Linked DNA regions of Arabidopsis thaliana. The protein of the gene in region 1 interacts with the protein of each later gene in a pairwise test. Each region holds a gene or a part of one and is shown on either strand. Other genes may lie near its edges.

Evidence for each region.
Region 2: the proteins of AT2G45850 (region 1) and AT1G80000 interact in a two-hybrid assay, tested with the Arabidopsis thaliana proteins (one large-scale study listed by BioGRID).

The regions. Positions count from the first base shown.
Region 1 is NC_003071.7:18,869,368-18,877,097, reverse strand, and holds AT2G45850 (AT hook motif DNA-binding family protein), read left to right. Parts: upstream 1-3,125; 5' UTR 3,126-3,478; exon of another isoform or gene 3,479-3,576; 5' UTR 3,577-3,640; coding exon 3,641-4,091; intron 4,092-4,358; coding exon 4,359-4,426; intron 4,427-4,513; coding exon 4,514-4,645; intron 4,646-4,731; coding exon 4,732-4,893; coding exon of another isoform or gene 4,894-4,917; exon of another isoform or gene 4,918-4,963; coding exon 4,964-5,197; 3' UTR 5,198-5,610; downstream 5,611-7,730. Other genes in the region: AT2G45870 (Bestrophin-like protein), read right to left, coding at 1-132, 248-415, 490-1,170; AT2G45860 (uncharacterized protein), read left to right, coding at 1,530-1,587, 1,673-1,734, 2,066-2,185; AT2G45840 (O-glucosyltransferase rumi-like protein (DUF821)), read right to left, coding at 5,611-5,982, 6,186-6,396, 6,492-6,556, 6,655-6,832, 6,980-7,566, 7,654-7,730. UniProt on the Arabidopsis thaliana protein: Transcription factor that specifically binds AT-rich DNA sequences related to the nuclear matrix attachment regions (MARs).
Region 2 is NC_003070.9:30,090,167-30,099,933, forward strand, and holds AT1G80000 (CASC3/Barentsz eIF4AIII binding protein), read left to right. Parts: upstream 1-2,640; 5' UTR 2,641-3,028; coding exon 3,029-3,495; intron 3,496-3,806; coding exon 3,807-3,906; intron 3,907-4,071; coding exon 4,072-4,277; intron 4,278-4,362; coding exon 4,363-5,042; intron 5,043-5,265; coding exon 5,266-5,368; intron 5,369-5,606; coding exon 5,607-5,726; intron 5,727-6,126; coding exon 6,127-6,179; intron 6,180-6,310; coding exon 6,311-6,371; intron 6,372-6,502; coding exon of another isoform or gene 6,503-6,512; exon of another isoform or gene 6,513-6,548; coding exon 6,549-6,576; 3' UTR 6,577-6,739; intron 6,740-6,824; 3' UTR 6,825-7,157; downstream 7,158-9,767. Other genes in the region: AT1G79990 (coatomer subunit beta-2), read left to right, coding at 58-129, 233-429, 512-605, 707-813, 1,054-1,183, 1,317-1,482, 1,761-1,783; FRS8 (FAR1-related sequence 8), read left to right, coding at 7,399-7,485, 7,590-9,680. UniProt on the Arabidopsis thaliana protein: Core component of the splicing-dependent multiprotein exon junction complex (EJC) deposited at splice junctions on mRNAs.

The DNA.
Region 1 (7,730 bases):
AATAACAGGGAGTGTTAGATGCCATAAGACTAAGAACCTCGACGTTAGTCGTGTGTAGGAAAGTGGAATCGGAATTCCCATTAGTTGTTCACATACACCAATTCCTTCCTGTAATTGCATCATCTTTGTTTCCTGTGAAGGAGAACACTAAACATTATAGTGCATATCCAAAGTCTATGGAAAGAGAATTACATTCAGAAATCACAGTCAAATGAATGAAGATGCTTAAAAGATTCAAGAAAGATACCAACATATCTATCTTTGTACTATCCAAATTCAGCAGCTGAAGGCTCTGAGAAATGAATTGAATGACACAACGTGGACGATGCTTGGATTGAAGAATCAAAGACAGATCATCTACTTCTATCACATTCTTGAGATCACTAGCAATATCTGAACCATAAATCACATGGCACTGCACATGAATAGAATCACAATCACGAACCTTCCTCTACCTAACTCAACATAAGCTAACTTCACAAAACAAACCTTAAGCGCCACAGGGAAAGCAACAATGTAACGCAAAAGCGCATCTCTGATGATCAATTCATCACCGGAGCCATGAACAGAAGAAATAACTAGCCTAGCTAAATCATTGGTTCCACTAATGATCTTAACCCAAGCTTTCCTTCCTTGTTCAAACCTTGAATAAGAAGCCTCAGTGCGAAACACTAGAAGCAGAGCTAAAGCCGGAGCCGTAAGCTGATACGGTAGAGGAGAAGCTCGAAGTACAGGGAAGAAATCAGGCAACCAGTCCAAATCCACGGCGGAGTTATAGCCGGCGATCAGGATCGCGACGGTGGTGAAGAAGAAAACAGGCGGAATCAAAGACAGTATAACGCGTGAAGATGGGCTCGAGGATACGTGACGGAGATGGCGAAGAGAGCTTCTGTGTCTGACCCAATTCTCGTGAGTGTAGAGAGATCGTTTCTGCTGCATCCGTCTCTCTTTGATACCGTCAGACCAGTTTGGGACAGCTTTAAGCAGCGAAATGAGCTTCTCGGATAGAGGTGAATCGTCGGATTTGGGGCCGGAGGAGACGCAGGAAGGATTGAATTTGAAATGTAGGGATTTGGGAGCTCTGGCGGAGATTCCGGAGTATAATCGTGGTTTGAGAAAGGATAGGTTGGTAAAGTTAGAAGAAAAAGATAGGTTCATTGACTGATACATTTTGGGCGGGAAAATCGAGGTTTAGGGTTAGGGATTTTGGTGGAGACGACGATGAAGAAGAAGAAGCAGAGACAACAATAAAGACACATGCAAAAATTGCAGAGTGCATAAGTAAAGAGAGACAAGTGTGACTTGGAGAAAGGTAGTTGGAACGAACAGTTGTGCGCTCGACAACGTTTCGGTTTCTAAGCTTTTATCTGGGCTTAAATGGGCTTATACTGAAACTTCTATTCTATCTTCTAAATGGGCTTATGTCTTATCTCAGCCCATTAAAGTTCCGTACCCTTTGAGGTCAGTTGAAATTTAGGGTTTATAGAGAACGCCTATCTGGTTGGAGAGGTGAAATTGGAACGGAAAAAATGTCGAAGAAGAACAATTTAGCCAAGAGAAAGAAGCAGCACGAGTACAATCTCCAAAGTAGGTTTCTTTAAATCTCTTTAAACGCTTTCAATTCAATACGCATGTGTTTCTCAACAAAACTTGGAATTTTTTCGATTTGCAGAAGAGAAAGAGTTACAGGACAAGAAGATCAAGAAGCTTCATGCCAACAAGAATAAGATGAAAGTAAGGACCTTTTCTGTCTCTCTTATCTCTTAATTCTGATATTTAGTTCATATACATTGGTGTTCGTTAAGTAGCAAACCGATTCTGTTGCAGAGAATGGTCTTTTCTAGCTATATATTACTCTAGTTGGTTACCAATGGTGAAATGATTGAATTCGCTTGGATTCAATTTGATTTCGATAGTGTTAGTCAGAAGCTTATGTGGGGTAAAAATAATAATATTGAATCTTCTTAGTAGAACATCTGACGAATAAGTTTGAGTTTTCCAAATCATTTAAATGAAGTCTAGAGTAGTTTATGATATCTGTGAGTTGGTTGATTTTGTTGTCTAGGTTGATGGAAGTGGGAAGAAGAAGAAAGGTGGATTTTCTGTTGGCAAGAAGAAATTAAAGACAAAACTGACTCCAACTGCTAAAGCTAAAGCTGCTCAGGCAATGGAGCTAGACAATTGACAAGGAACTTCGTTTTTTTTCACTTGTATGTAAAATTGTTCTTCATTGATCTTCGTCTTTACTTTGGAGAAATCATGTTGAAGCTAGCTTCTTCTTATAGGTTAAACTCTTATGTATCACTCTCTCTTTTGAATGCAAGATTTTGCTATCTAACCGGATCGGGATCATTGTGGAATGTAGCTATTGATGAAGTGAAATGTGTATGGTTCCTAATTGCTTCTAAAGTTCAAATTCAGCATAGATTCTGATTTCTCTGAGAAAAAGTCAACTTTTAGGTAAACAAAACAAAGACACAAGTATGTTTATAATTGGCATAAGACTTTCATGGTGCATTAGTCAGACCCAAGATCTTTTCTAGTTTATTAGTACATTCCAGTATTCCACTAAACATATTTTGAAGAAAAAAACTGTCTTTTAGAAAGTCAAATTATGTTTGTCATAATCAAAAGTCTTATACAAACAGTGTCACACATTACATGGTACATTTAAAGTTGAATCCTAATAGGAAAAAATCTCAAAGGCTTTGAGAGGTTATATCATCCCATCAATGGGTCCTTGCGAGATATTTTATAGATTTCTTCTGATCAGCCTCTCTCTCTCGTCAAAATAGTTCTCAAAGTGGAAGCCAGTGGGCAAGTCTCTGACCAGACAGGCCCAAATCTTTTCTCACTCTCCGGCGCGTGGCCTCCACTGTCTCTACAGATTCTTCCGTCTCAGATCAAATTCCGAAGAGATCAATCAGTCTATAGAAACAGTAGAGAGACTAGTAAGAAGTAGCATCAGCTTGAAAAGGAGGAATCTGTTCACCAAGATTTCTGGTTGAGAAGAAAGAAGAGTGACATGTTGGTGCACGCGCCTGAATAAAGAGTGTGGCCATAAGAGTCATGTGCCATACAGATGCCTAGTTGCTATATAGAGCTACAGTCAAAGTCAGTTTATTCATTAGGATTTTGAATTTCCAAATACATTTTCAGAAAAAAAAGAATTAAAAGATCCCATTGTTGTTATCCTCACAGTAAATGCTTTTGCTTGAGAGAGAGTCTGTTAGAGGTTTTTTGTTTGTTTCTGTTTCCTTCTGTCACCCAGAAAACTAAAAAGCAAACAAATTCAAGAAGAGAGAGAGAGAGAGATAGCCTCAAAACCAAGTCCTAACCATTGTTGATAGAAGAGAAAGCTTTTCTTTTCTTGTTGCTTATGGTGAAAGAATGAAAGAGAGAGAGGAGGAGAAGTAAGAAGCAGAGAAAGTGTTTAGAGCTTTGCATGTTCCTTTCTCTCCAAGTTTATATCTTCATCGTAAAGTCTCTCAACCTTTGATTCTGTTTTTTCCTCTTATCCATTTATCCTCTTTCTTTTTCTCTCTCTCCTCATAATTCTAGCCACAATCTTTTTAGGGTTTCACAAGTTCACTTAAAAAGTTGAAAAGAGTCTTTCTTCTTCAACTATTGTAAATGCGAAATGGATCGAAGAGATGCAATGGGATTATCCGGGTCAGGTTCTTACTATATCCATAGAGGATTATCCGGGTCGGGTCCTCCAACGTTTCATGGATCACCACAGCAACAGCAAGGTCTTCGTCACTTACCTAATCAAAACTCTCCATTCGGGTCAGGCTCCACTGGTTTCGGATCTCCTTCTTTACACGGTGATCCTTCTCTGGCAACAGCAGCCGGAGGAGCCGGAGCTCTTCCTCATCATATCGGCGTTAATATGATTGCTCCTCCTCCACCTCCCAGTGAAACTCCGATGAAACGAAAGAGAGGACGGCCTAGAAAATACGGTCAAGACGGCTCTGTTTCTTTGGCTCTGTCGTCTTCCTCTGTTTCGACCATTACTCCCAACAACTCTAACAAACGCGGCCGTGGTCGACCTCCGGGCTCCGGCAAGAAACAGAGAATGGCTTCCGTTGGTAATTAACTATCTATCTCTGAAACTTGCAATCTTGAAAAAAGAAAGCTCCATTATATATTGAATCAAGAACCAGGATTATTTTATGTTTTCTCAAGTCAAAATATCCAATTGTTTATTCCTAATGAGTGGGAACTTAAAACTTTCCTAAATTGGAACTAATTTTGTTGTCTTTCTTTGTATTATGCTCTGCTTAAACTCTTATGAATTAGACTCGCATTTATTGATTCAATGAGCCTGTTTTTTTTGTTCTTTTGAAATTGATTAGGTGAACTGATGCCTTCATCTTCTGGAATGAGCTTCACGCCACATGTTATCGCGGTTTCAATAGGAGAAGTAATGTTGAATCACTAACTATTTCAGAGCTTTCGTGAAATGTTTTTTATTTGCTGATTGCTGAAAAGCTTTGAAACTTTGCAACAGGATATTGCATCAAAGGTTATAGCTTTCTCTCAACAAGGTCCGAGAGCCATTTGCGTTTTATCTGCAAGTGGTGCAGTCTCTACTGCAACACTTATTCAACCATCAGCATCTCCCGGAGCCATTAAATACGAGGTTCAATTTTGAAATTTCTTACTATATAGAGAAACATTGGTGTTTTCACTGTTTTTCTTATAACATATGTTTTTGTATATTTCCAGGGCCGGTTTGAAATCCTAGCGTTATCAACATCTTATATAGTGGCAACTGATGGAAGCTTCCGTAACCGAACTGGAAACTTATCGGTTTCGCTTGCTAGCCCCGATGGGCGTGTGATTGGCGGTGCCATTGGTGGGCCTTTAATAGCTGCAAGTCCTGTTCAGGTTTGGTTTACACTTTTCTCTTGAGCTCTCATATTTCTTGGGATTGAATAAAGATTCTTGGGTCTATCAGGTTATTGTAGGGAGCTTTATATGGGCAGCTCCAAAGATCAAGAGCAAGAAACGAGAAGAAGAAGCTTCTGAAGTTGTTCAAGAAACTGATGATCACCACGTTCTGGACAATAATAACAACACGATTTCGCCTGTCCCTCAGCAGCAGCCAAACCAAAACCTGATTTGGTCAACAGGTTCAAGGCAAATGGATATGCGTCATGCTCATGCTGATATTGATTTAATGCGCGGTTGATGATAGCGAGAAAGAACTCTGTGTATATAAAGCATGGAATCTAGGAAGAAGAAGAAGGAATATAAGCTAACCTCTGAACAAAAGTATGTGGAAATGTTAGGGAAAAAGATTATGTGGAAATGTTAGGGAAAAAGATTAACTCTATTAGTGTACCTCTCATATCTCTAAGCTTGTTTGGTTTTACTGTTTCTGTGACTCTGAAGATTTGCAGAGTTCCTTTCTTTCTCTGTTTTAGATTGTTCAGTCTTTATGTAATTTGCTTGCAATTCTGATTCTACAGCTTAGATTCAGTACATTGTGTAGAAGTTTACATGGGAACCTGAAAATTGGGCATTTCATGGGCCTTCATATGATCCAATTTATTTTCATCAAATTTGTATTAGTACATAATTAATTTTGTTTTTTATAATAGCTCAATGTTTAAGAATCTTCTTCTGTTCCTGCCAATACTCATTAGTCCACTTCTCAACTTCTTTCTCAACACTTTCTTTCTTCTCAAGAAACTTTTTGAGCTCATCTTCTTCAAAAGGTGGAGGCATCTCACAAGTAGCCTTAACGCTCGGAGACATAACCAATGAGTCATCCATAGATTGTCTCATTCGGCCTCCATTGATTGGACAAGCCATTGTCTCCGGACACACTTCCTTGGCTCCTTGAGGCACTTCTACATTCATCTTCATCAACTTCCCATAGCTTTGCAGTAGATGCAACATGTAATCATACACATACTTCATCTTTAGATTCTTTCGCACATACCCACTTCCATTTCTCCCTATAGCTCTGGCCTATAAAACATGAGAAGATCATAGCAAAATGTTGTTGTTACAGTACTTCTCTTGCTAGTTTAAGAGATATTATTGAATCTTTTGTTACCAAATTGTTCTAGAAATCTAAACATCAAAGAAAAGATAGAGTTGTAACAAAACAAAAAAAATATTTTGTTTGAAGTTTCTAAAGACACAGGAGCGGTTATGTTGTTATATGATACCTTTTTGGTATTGTTGTTGCCCCAATGGACAGCAAAGACAATGTCACTACATTTTTCTTGAGGTCTTATGGGCCAATAATGCTCCATTGGAACTAAGCTTCTAGTGAAGAAGTCAAAGTAAAATGGCTTCACAAGAAGAGTCATGCTGTCACAAGCTAATATATACTTCTCACTCACTGACCAAGCCCTTCCTTCTACATAAATCTTGTACCTTCATTATACAAAAATAAAAATAAGCCCTTATTACTAATATTAAAATTTAATTCATCAAATAACTCGAGAACAGCAAAAAGATTCATATAAAACCTGTGGGTGCATTGATCTTCTAGGTTTGATGTCCTATACCCAATCCTGCCCTCTCTGCTCCAATCCTACAATTAACATTGTCATCAACTCATCAAGTTACTAGAATCTTCTAGATCATTATCATAAAAGAGATCACGGTAAAGAGATATAAATATAAAGAAACCTGGCGATAGAGATGAACCATAGGGTCATGACAATGCATGAGGTCTCTTCTGACCATGGCAACTCCAGGATTCCCCTTCCAATATGCGTAAGGCTCTCTCTCTTCCCACTTCACCTTCTTTATCCCTTCACTTATCAACTCCGACTGTTTATTCCACTCCTTTATGTTAATCTCCGGCCTAACCATAATTAGGGGTGTGAGCACATAGATATTCGAACCAAACTTTTAAAATCCAAACAAGAGTTTTCTTTATAACTGTATAACGGTTTTCGTATTTTTATACAGATTGATGGGTTTGTATGCAACCATAAATCGATTATAGTACCAGCCCCAAAAGCTCCAGTCAGGGAAGACAATGTCGAAAGCACCGGAATGTCCACAATAGTGGAAGAGTGGAGGAGGTGGCCACGTCACATTGACTCCTGGTCTTGGCCTATAGTCTCTTCTCCAGATTTCAGGTGAGTCATGGCACATGAAGAGAAGCTCAAGATCAGGGACTTGACCAGGATACATCCTTAGCAGCTGTACTATTCCCCATATAGTGAAAACATCTCTTGTCTGAAAAGATTTCTTGTATTGATGCACATACACTCTTCCTCCTTTTATTATCAGCCGGAAGTGAGCTTTATCACTTGCTCTCTCTAACGTCTCTCGAGTGATTCCAGTCTCACGCCATGCTTCAAGATCCTTGTGGATCCACCTGAAGTAGTCTGGACAAGTCTCTGGCTCGTCCTTACTAGGTTGTGATTTCTCCGGGTTGCTTGCAGGACACGTCTGGGTTGCTATGTTCTGGTCTAGTGAGCATTGCAATGTGAAGTTCAGTGGTGTAGTGAGTTTTTCCTTGGGGATAGTTGCGTTGGTGTTTCTTGTAAATATTGGTGTCACTTTGATTCTACCTCCACCGATTAAAAACTATGTAAGAAAGAACAATTTTTGAGGGAAACCCATTTGAGTTACTAATAGATTGTAATGAATAATTATGTATAGATATAGATATACCATGTCCATCCACCTGAGAGAAGCTCCAACGAGGATGATGAAGAAGAAGAAGACAAAGATGAAGATTGTGGTTGTGA
Region 2 (9,767 bases), on another chromosome or scaffold:
AAGCTTTATTTCCATGACTTACCGATATGTTTTTACTCGATTCTTATTTTTTGACAGGACATTGCTGTAGAGGCACAAAATGAATCTAAATGGAAGCAACTTGGAGAATTAGCTATGTCAAGTGGGAAGGTGACCATTTTTTAGCTGCAATCAGTGTTCTAGGATTCTTACAAAGGTTAAAGCTAACATGTATTTTTCTTTTCATTTTCCTTCCCATGCTTGGACTACTTAGCTGGATATGGCTGAGGAATGCATGAGGCATGCTATGGATTTGAGTGGTCTGCTGCTGCTTTATTCTTCATTGGGAGATGCAGATGGAATGATGAAGCTGGCAGCACTTGCAAAAGAGCAAGGAAAGAACAATGTCGCTTTTCTTTGCTTGTTCATGTTGGGTCAAGTAGAAGACTGCCTGCATCTGTTGGTGGAAAGGTACATTGTTTACTATTTCTTACATGTGGAACATATATTCCCGCAACTAATTACGTCTATGCTGATATTAATATGGTTACAGTAATCGAATACCTGAAGCCGCTCTGATGGCGAGATCGTACCTTCCAAGCAAGGTCTCCGAAATAGTGGCATTGTGGAGAAACGATTTGACCAAGGTTAGTGGTAGACACATCCGATGCACCTTGTGATTGAATTTCAAACCTTGCCTGTTGAGATATCCACAATTTTTCTTCATCCTCTGTCAATCTGGATATAGATAAGTCCAAAGGCTGCTGAATCTCTGGCTGATCCCGAAGAGTATCCCAATCTCTTTGAGGAGTGGCAAGTCGCCCTGTCCCTTGAAAATAGAGCTGCAGAGACGAGGTATCTTTTCGTCGTTGCCGTCATTAGCTTATTCTTAAAAACAGTGCTTATGAGGAAACCTTTTTAATTGAATTGTGGGACTTAAGCCATTTAGAGTCATGTGTCTGTATTACATAGCAAGGTAGCCGTCATGTATTTGCTTATAATTTGAATTTATACCCGTATAAACATAAGCCGAATGTCGATTTCATTTTTTCAGGATCCTCATAAACAAAGTATTTTTGTTGACTTATCTTGCAGGGGCGTCCATCCTCCTGCTGGGGATTATTGTAGTCATGCAGACAGAGATCATACAACTTTAGTGGATGCTTTTAGAATTATGCAAATAGAGGAAGAGGGTCGACTTGAGCAAGGGGATGTTCTCGACGAGGTATGCATGTTTACATTACATGCATTGAAGAGGATTGTCTTTTACCCATGATATCCAATCCAATGGTCTTGGCCATGGTGGACAATGGTAGGATCATTAATTCTACTGTCGCTGCTTCATTTGTTGTGAACAGGTTGGGGAAGAGGGGGAAGATGGAGAGGAAGAGGAGGAGGAGGATCGTCAGGAAGAGAGTAGTGATGGGAGACAGCAGAATGTGGAAGAAGAGGCTGTTGTGGTGGACGCTGACTCTACGGATGGTGCTGTGCTAGTTAATGGTAACGAGTCTGAAGAACAGTGGGGTAAGATTAGTGAAGGAACCGCATCAGCCTTATAGCATTTGTGGTTATCAATTGATTATAAGATGTCGCTGCACCAAAATATCCTTTTGCCATCTGCACATATATCATAGGATTTGCGTTTGCATCTGTCCATCAATGTTTCCTCATCTGTCTGCCTCCCATCTTCGTCTTACTGATCATCTTACTTTTGATGTTGACTGTCTTTTAAATAGTGCTTCTCTATGCCATTAACTTTTTTATCAATCCGTGGACTGATTAAATATTTGTTTGTTGTACAGTTCTAACACCGCCACAAGAGTAGGGTTGGTGAAGAGTGAAGACATACACAGATAGATATTTTCTTGGCTTTGAAACTTGATACATTCAGCAGAGAAATGAGGCAGCACAGAGAGAGATTAGTTTCCATTGTTAAAAAACTGATCTATTGATAGCTTCCGCTTTGTGCTTTTAATACAGATACATATTAAAAAAAAAGGGGGTTTTGGGACTCTTATGTAGCTTTAACTTATGAGAGATTTCACCTGTAGAATATCTGTTTTGAACTGAGATTTCACCCATATAATATGTTTTGACTTTCGATTCAATAGGTTATGTAGTTGATATCTTTTTTTTTTTTGCAAAACTCAATAGCAGTAGCAAAAAACTTAATTGGAAATAATCAAAGTGAAGGGATAAGTTGGGAAAGAGCCAGAGGATAACGCATGGTGCATTATTATTAGTATTGTGGAGGAGACGCATCTCGAAACATCTCTCAAAGCAAACAAGGACCCAAAACAAAGTTCCTTGCATTCTTCCACTGTCCGTAATCACCATCACCATATCATTATTCTTCTACCCATTTTGTCTTGGAAATGATTTTAAATTTTCTTGTTGCTTCTTACTGCAAACTGTGTATAGGTTCAACTACTCCATTGAGTTACACACTTGCATGCACCTATGGAAGTTAATTTTCCGGTTTTGATTGATATTCAAGTTGTTGACCAATGGAGTTATATACCCTTGATTTATATAGAAACCACATGTTTTATTTATATTAACATGGTCACTTTTGTCAGGATTAATAGACAACAATAGTTGAGAGAAAAAGTGATAAGGTAGAGCTAATTTGTATTAAACTTATCAATTAGTATTGTTGGTTAAAAAAAAGTTAATAAAGTAGTCAAGTTGGATAATTCCCAAAAACTGGGAAAAAAGAACTCAAGCGTCAAATGTTGTAGGTGCATCATCATCAGTCTACAAGTAGTAAAAAACCCATTCGATTTGATAAGAAGACCCAACGGAAAGAGTCTTCCCGTCTACAAAGTAAACCCAATCAATCTTAATAATCTTTAAGAGGTTTTTTCTTATTATAATTATCTATCTCTCTATCTATCTATCTGCGGATCTCTCATGAAGAAACACTGAGGAGATTCTCTCGCTCTGATCTCCTGGTATCGTCGTCTCTCTCCGTAGAGATATACTAGTTTGTCCCATATCCGATTGATTGCTCTATTCAATTTATTCCTCTTCTAGGTTTTCGGTTTGGCCCTCCGATTTAGAGGGATTGATGGCCCCTGATGGCGTTGAAGACTCCGACTATGAGAGTGATCCCGACGAGTTGAACCGCTCCTTGGCTACACGGAGGAGAGAAGCCAGCGATGATGATGAGGATGATGAAGAAGCGGACGACCATGATAAGCTGCGAGCAGCAATCCAGATTCATTCCGATGAACACAGTGGTGTTGTTGTTGTCGACTCTGATGATAATGAAGGATTGCACATAGAAGATAGTTATGGTGATGATGACGACGAAGAGGAAGATGGTGATTATGGACAAGTTGATGACCATGTCGAATACATTGCGGATAATAATGACAAGACAATTGTCGCCGGCAATGGGACCGATGACTCTGCCGCCACTGATCTTGTGGATGGAGAGGAACAAAAGAAGAAGGAACCTTTTGCAGTGCCTACTGCTGGAGCTTTCTATATGCATGATGACAGATTTCAGGAATTGGATGCCGCCTCTAATAGGTAAACTCTTTTTGATTCTATGAGGAGGTAGTGTTTTGTCCAAACTATGCAAATGTATCTATCTACTATTGAGGTAGAGTACATTGATAGGTGAAATTAGCAAACGACTTTCCGTCATTCAATCTCATGATGTACTTCAGAGTTCAGATAGATTGGAACAACTGCTTTGGTTTTATGTTTTAACTTTGATTGTGAATCTTTATGTATGAATCTACCCGAGATGCCATCACACTGCTATTTTTCCATTTAACATTCTGTTTAGTTACATGGTAATGCCAACCGATATAGGTTTTCGTTTTTTATTTCTGTAGGCGAATGCGTGGTGGTAGGAGGCTCTGGCAATCCAGAGATGAAAGAAAGTGGGGACATGACAAATTCGAGGAAATGAATACACAGAAACAGCAATATGATGTACTTTTCTCTGATCATCTCTCTTTCTCTTTCTCTCCTTTTCATAAATATATTTGTATTCATCGACTTGTTTCCTCTTGCTGTGTTTATACATTTGCCACCTCTTTTTTCTTTTTCCTTTTTTTTTTCCTTTTGAAAGCTGATTAATTAAACTTGTGAACATAGAGGAGGACTTCGAGAGGCCGAGGCAGAGGTCGTGGTCAGGGTAGGGGTCAGGACCGTGGACAGTCTCGGGGGAACAATTCTAAAGAATTTACTGGCAATGGACACCAAAATCAGTTTCCGAAGGCTGTCACGAGAGGGAGGGGGGCCAGAAGATATGAGGTTGCATTGAGAAATGGGAATCAAGCACCTTCTGTGCAAACCAAACAGTGAGTCCTTAATTTTGTTTCCTCTCTAGTCAACACATGAAGGCTCTAGGTCTCTAATTGTTGTGTCTTTTTACGGAATCTTTAGGTCCCAAAATTCGTCTGTGGAAGTGTCACACGTTGATTTAGGGCGTCCACCAACAGAAACAGCTACCTTAGAGACTGAAGCCATCCAAGCCAAAAAGAATGTATTTGCTTCAAGTTTAAATTCAGCTTCTCCTCCATTTTATCCTTCAAGATCCAACAATAACTTGGCACAAAAGGATGTACAAGCTGGCATGGGTAGGCTGCACATTAATGAAAACCCTAATCCGACTGGAAAGAAGTTTGGGAATACAAAATCCAGCTCCTTGTGGGGACGCACTGCTCAGACTACAAGTCATGGTAGAGGTGTACCTCCTCATGGGCAAGTGCTTTACCAGCAATCTCCTAATCAAGGTGACAAAGTTTCTTCGCCGATGCAAATCCGTGGAATGCCTAAAGGCACTGACCAGAGCTGTACTCAACTTCCTGGTCAGGTTTTTAATCAACATTCGGCTGTTATCAGTTTGCTGCCTTCTTCTCCTCCAAAAACCGGATCATCAGAAAATCCGTATCTTTCTGGTGAAATAGAGTCAGCCGTAGAAACAGGTGCTTTGGTTGCCAAGGGAAAAGGGTCTCTCCAACCTAGTGGAAGGGGATCTTTTATGTATGGAGGGACACAGTTTATGGGCCCTGCCGGGATGGCAGCTGGTCACGGCAATCCAAATTTCCCTGCTTTTCTACCTGGTAAGTTGTTCTTGAATGTCATTGTTCATCCTACATTGTAATGGTTGAAAGACATCTTTCAGAATCAATCTATGCATGCTAGTGAAATTGAGAGCTATTGATGCTGAGCCGCTTGGCCTGGTTGCCCATGTCTAGGGCCGCTTGAGAACGGCACCTTTTTGTACAGGTGCTAATATGCACGCCTGACTAGTTTAAACTTGTTTGTTTTCATTTTCATGTTCAGTTATGCAATTCGGTGGTCAGCATGGTGGGGTTCCAACTTTTGGAATGGCTCTTCCAGGTTATTTCCAACCAGAACATGGTACCGGAAATCCTGAGATGACATGGTATGCAGTTCCACAGCTATGTTTTAAAAGTTATATATTTGGTGCATTCTTAGTTGACTTGCTGCATGCTTTTGTAATTTGAGAGGATGTTTAATCTTGTAACTAGTCTTTTACTAGCCCAAACAGAACCTGAATTATTGCTTTCACTCGTCTGCTGTTTGTTTTTTGTTTGATTTCCCTATTTCTCTATCTATAGTAGGTCCTTATTACTGCTATTATTTTCTTAAATTATTGACAGGCTGCCAATTTTGGCTGGCCCTGGAGCATTAGGGGGTTCATATTGTCCACCTTATACTGTCCTTGATGGTTCTTACCAAGCAGACAAACCAGGGTTACCTTCCTCTGCCGGATCGTCCAGGTTTAGAAATAATTTTCTCAGTATTGTTAATCAACATGTCATTTCCATATGCATATGTGTAGACTCTTTGCTTTTTACCTTAGAGGAAGAGTAGTATGGGAATGCAGCTTTAAGCCCTTAACTAAGTAACGTATGTGAGATTTTAGATTTGTGGTTCCTCTTATTCTAGACCCACTGCAAAATGCTTGTTACCTGTTAGATTTACATTTCTTAAGTGCTTAGATTAGTAGTTTCTCGACTATGTACACCCAGAAACATGTAGTTTTCATTAAACAGACTCACTTTCTTGGTTGGGCACTCATGTAACCATGTCAATCATCTCTGATTATGAGCGTCTAGTAAAGCATATAATTTGAGCTCAAGTACCCAATTACCTTATATTTTTGATTTTTTGTTGCAGCCAAGAGAACAGTTCCAATAATCCTAATGATGAAGAGCCCATGGAGAGACCTGGTAAGTAATAACTCTTGCCAATTAAATGGGGTTGTTATAATGGATTCAGAAGATTTTGTTGTGTTTTGGCGAATAAGAAATTTGAATGATTACATGGAGAGACTGATTCGTATGGGGGTTTATTGATGTAGAGGTTACGAACAATGGGAATTCTCAACGGTCAAATAGCAACCCAAACAAGCAGCCTCGTAGGTGAGTTTTGAAGCAATCTAGTTTATTTATCGGTCAGTGTTAGTGTGACGTGAAACCACCTTGAAATCAAAGTACCACAGGAGTAGTTGGATACAGATATTTGTGGAAATGAAATGTTAATATTGGTCCAGGATGAAATGAAACACTAACGAGCACATGTTGACGAGGGATGTGCAGATACTCGGAGATGAGCTTTAGCAAGTGAGTAAAGAAGAGTGGAAAGGAAGAAGGTCATCTAATTTGACTAAGTGGAGTGAAAGGAGGAGGGTGAGAGAGAAGAGCTCCTTAGGAGCAGCAGGCCCTTGGTGCTTCTCCAACTGCTTTATGAAGCCGTTTGGGCTGCTATTATTGTTACCTATTTTTATTAGGTACGCAATTTCTCTCAAGATACCAATTGAAGAGAGGTTTTAACCACATTATAATTTGAACTTGTGTTTGCTGTTTTGTTTTCAGGAGGTTGTTGTGCAATTGAAAAGAATTTTTGTTTTGTTTTCGTTGTTATGAGAGCTTGAGCTTGAGCCGTGGGCGTCCTTCATCTGTAATTTATTCTTTTGTCCGTTTGGGTTCAAATTGATATTTTGTAATGTTGATATGTGTTATTCTGTTTTCGTTTGTCAACTTCTTTATCAAAAGTTGTGTGCCCTATTCGTACGCCTGCGAAGTCCCCCCAAGAATTGCCCATGTTGAGTTTTGATGGTAGTTAGTTGTCTATGTTTTATATTTTACGCAAGGGGATAGTGGTGGTGCTCAGTCAAATTTACCCGATTCGTGAGAAATGAGTCATTGAGGAATTGTTACCATATATATAAAGACATGCCTCCGCTCTGGTTATTTAGTTATGCGACAAAAACAAAACAGACCGCATAGAATAGATGCAACAAACCAAGTGTATAGAAACTTTATTCCTTGGCGCAGCAAAAAAAAAAAAAGGGATAGAGTCTCCGTTGATTCAGGTAGCTCAGCGTCCTCTGAGATGAAACGATTGTTGTTGTTTGTTTGTTGATTTTAGTTTTTAGTTTAGTGGAAGATGATCGGTAATAGCGTCTACATCTCACCGTCACCGTCACCGTCCGACCACTCTCTCTCGCCCAACCCTAATCTCTGCATCTCGGCGGTTGGTTTCTACTGTCTTCCTTTCTCTCTCTCTATTTACTACAAATTTTGATTTCAATTTGGGTTTCCGATTTCGATTTCAATTTTGAATTTGATGGTCTTCAGATGGAAGAGCAGCTGGTTGTTGATGATGATGATGATGACCTTGCTCCTCCTCCAATCCCTGATCTCGATATTGACCTTGAAGATGATGATGACGCCTGTTGTCACGGCTTGCTTCATATCGCACCTAATCACGAAGAAGAAACTGGATGCGACGAAAACGCTTTTGCTAATGAAAAGTGTTTGATGGCTCCTCCTCCTACTCCTGGAATGGAGTTCGAGTCCTACGATGATGCTTACAGTTTCTACAACTCATACGCCCGTGAGCTCGGTTTTGCTATCCGCGTCAAGTCCTCCTGGACTAAGCGTAACAGCAAGGAGAAACGTGGTGCTGTCTTGTGTTGCAACTGCCAAGGTTTCAAGCTGCTTAAAGATGCTCACTCCCGGAGAAAGGAGACCCGCACCGGCTGCCAGGCCATGATTCGCCTTCGACTCATCCACTTTGATCGATGGAAAGTTGATCAAGTCAAACTCGACCACAACCACTCCTTTGATCCTCAACGTGCCCACAATTCCAAGTCTCACAAGAAATCCTCCTCCTCAGCTTCTCCTGCAACTAAGACAAATCCCGAACCACCTCCCCATGTCCAAGTCCGGACTATCAAATTGTATCGAACCCTTGCCCTTGACACACCACCCGCTCTTGGAACTTCACTCTCTAGCGGGGAGACCAGCGATCTCAGCCTTGATCACTTCCAATCTTCAAGGCGCTTGGAGCTCAGAGGGGGTTTCAGGGCCTTGCAGGATTTCTTCTTCCAAATTCAGCTTTCCAGCCCCAACTTTCTTTACCTCATGGACCTTGCCGACGACGGGAGTCTCAGGAATGTCTTTTGGATTGACGCTCGAGCTAGGGCTGCATACTCTCACTTTGGCGACGTTCTTCTGTTCGACACCACTTGTTTATCTAACGCATACGAGCTTCCCCTTGTGGCCTTTGTTGGAATTAACCACCATGGAGATACAATCTTGCTCGGCTGTGGTTTGCTTGCTGATCAGAGCTTTGAGACCTATGTCTGGCTCTTCAGAGCGTGGCTAACCTGCATGTTAGGCCGTCCCCCACAGATCTTTATCACGGAACAGTGCAAGGCAATGCGGACCGCTGTCTCTGAAGTTTTTCCAAGGGCTCATCATCGTCTTAGCTTGACCCACGTCCTGCACAACATCTGTCAGAGTGTTGTCCAACTACAAGATTCTGACTTGTTCCCTATGGCACTTAACAGAGTAGTCTACGGTTGTCTCAAGGTCGAAGAATTTGAAACAGCTTGGGAAGAGATGATCATTCGCTTTGGGATGACAAATAACGAGACCATCAGGGACATGTTTCAAGATCGAGAACTCTGGGCTCCAGTTTACCTCAAGGATACATTTTTGGCCGGGGCGCTGACTTTTCCACTGGGAAATGTGGCAGCCCCGTTCATCTTCAGTGGCTATGTTCATGAGAACACATCCCTGAGAGAATTCCTTGAAGGGTACGAATCTTTTCTGGATAAAAAGTACACAAGAGAAGCCTTGTGCGACTCAGAGTCCTTAAAGTTGATCCCCAAGCTCAAAACAACGCACCCCTACGAGTCCCAGATGGCAAAGGTCTTCACAATGGAGATATTTAGAAGGTTCCAAGACGAGGTCTCAGCAATGTCTTCATGTTTTGGAGTAACGCAAGTCCACTCAAACGGGTCGGCCTCCTCGTACGTAGTGAAAGAGAGGGAGGGAGACAAAGTGAGAGACTTTGAGGTCATCTACGAGACAAGTGCAGCAGCACAAGTACGTTGCTTCTGTGTCTGTGGGGGTTTCAGCTTCAATGGGTACCAATGCAGACACGTGCTCCTCCTACTCAGCCACAACGGCTTGCAGGAAGTCCCGCCTCAGTATATACTGCAACGGTGGCGGAAGGACGTGAAACGTCTCTATGTGGCGGAATTTGGGTCAGGTCGTGTGGACATAATGAATCCGGATCAATGGTATGAGCATTTGCACAGAAGAGCGATGCAGGTTGTTGAACAAGGGATGAGATCGAAAGAGCATTGCAGAGCTGCCTGGGAAGCGTTTAGAGAGTGTGCCAATAAGGTCCAATTTGTGACAGAGAAGCCTTCATAGATACTTACTTACACTGTCTTTGTACGAGAGCTGATTAGAATCTGTAATCATATTATACAGGTTCTACTACCAGTAATTAACTAGGAT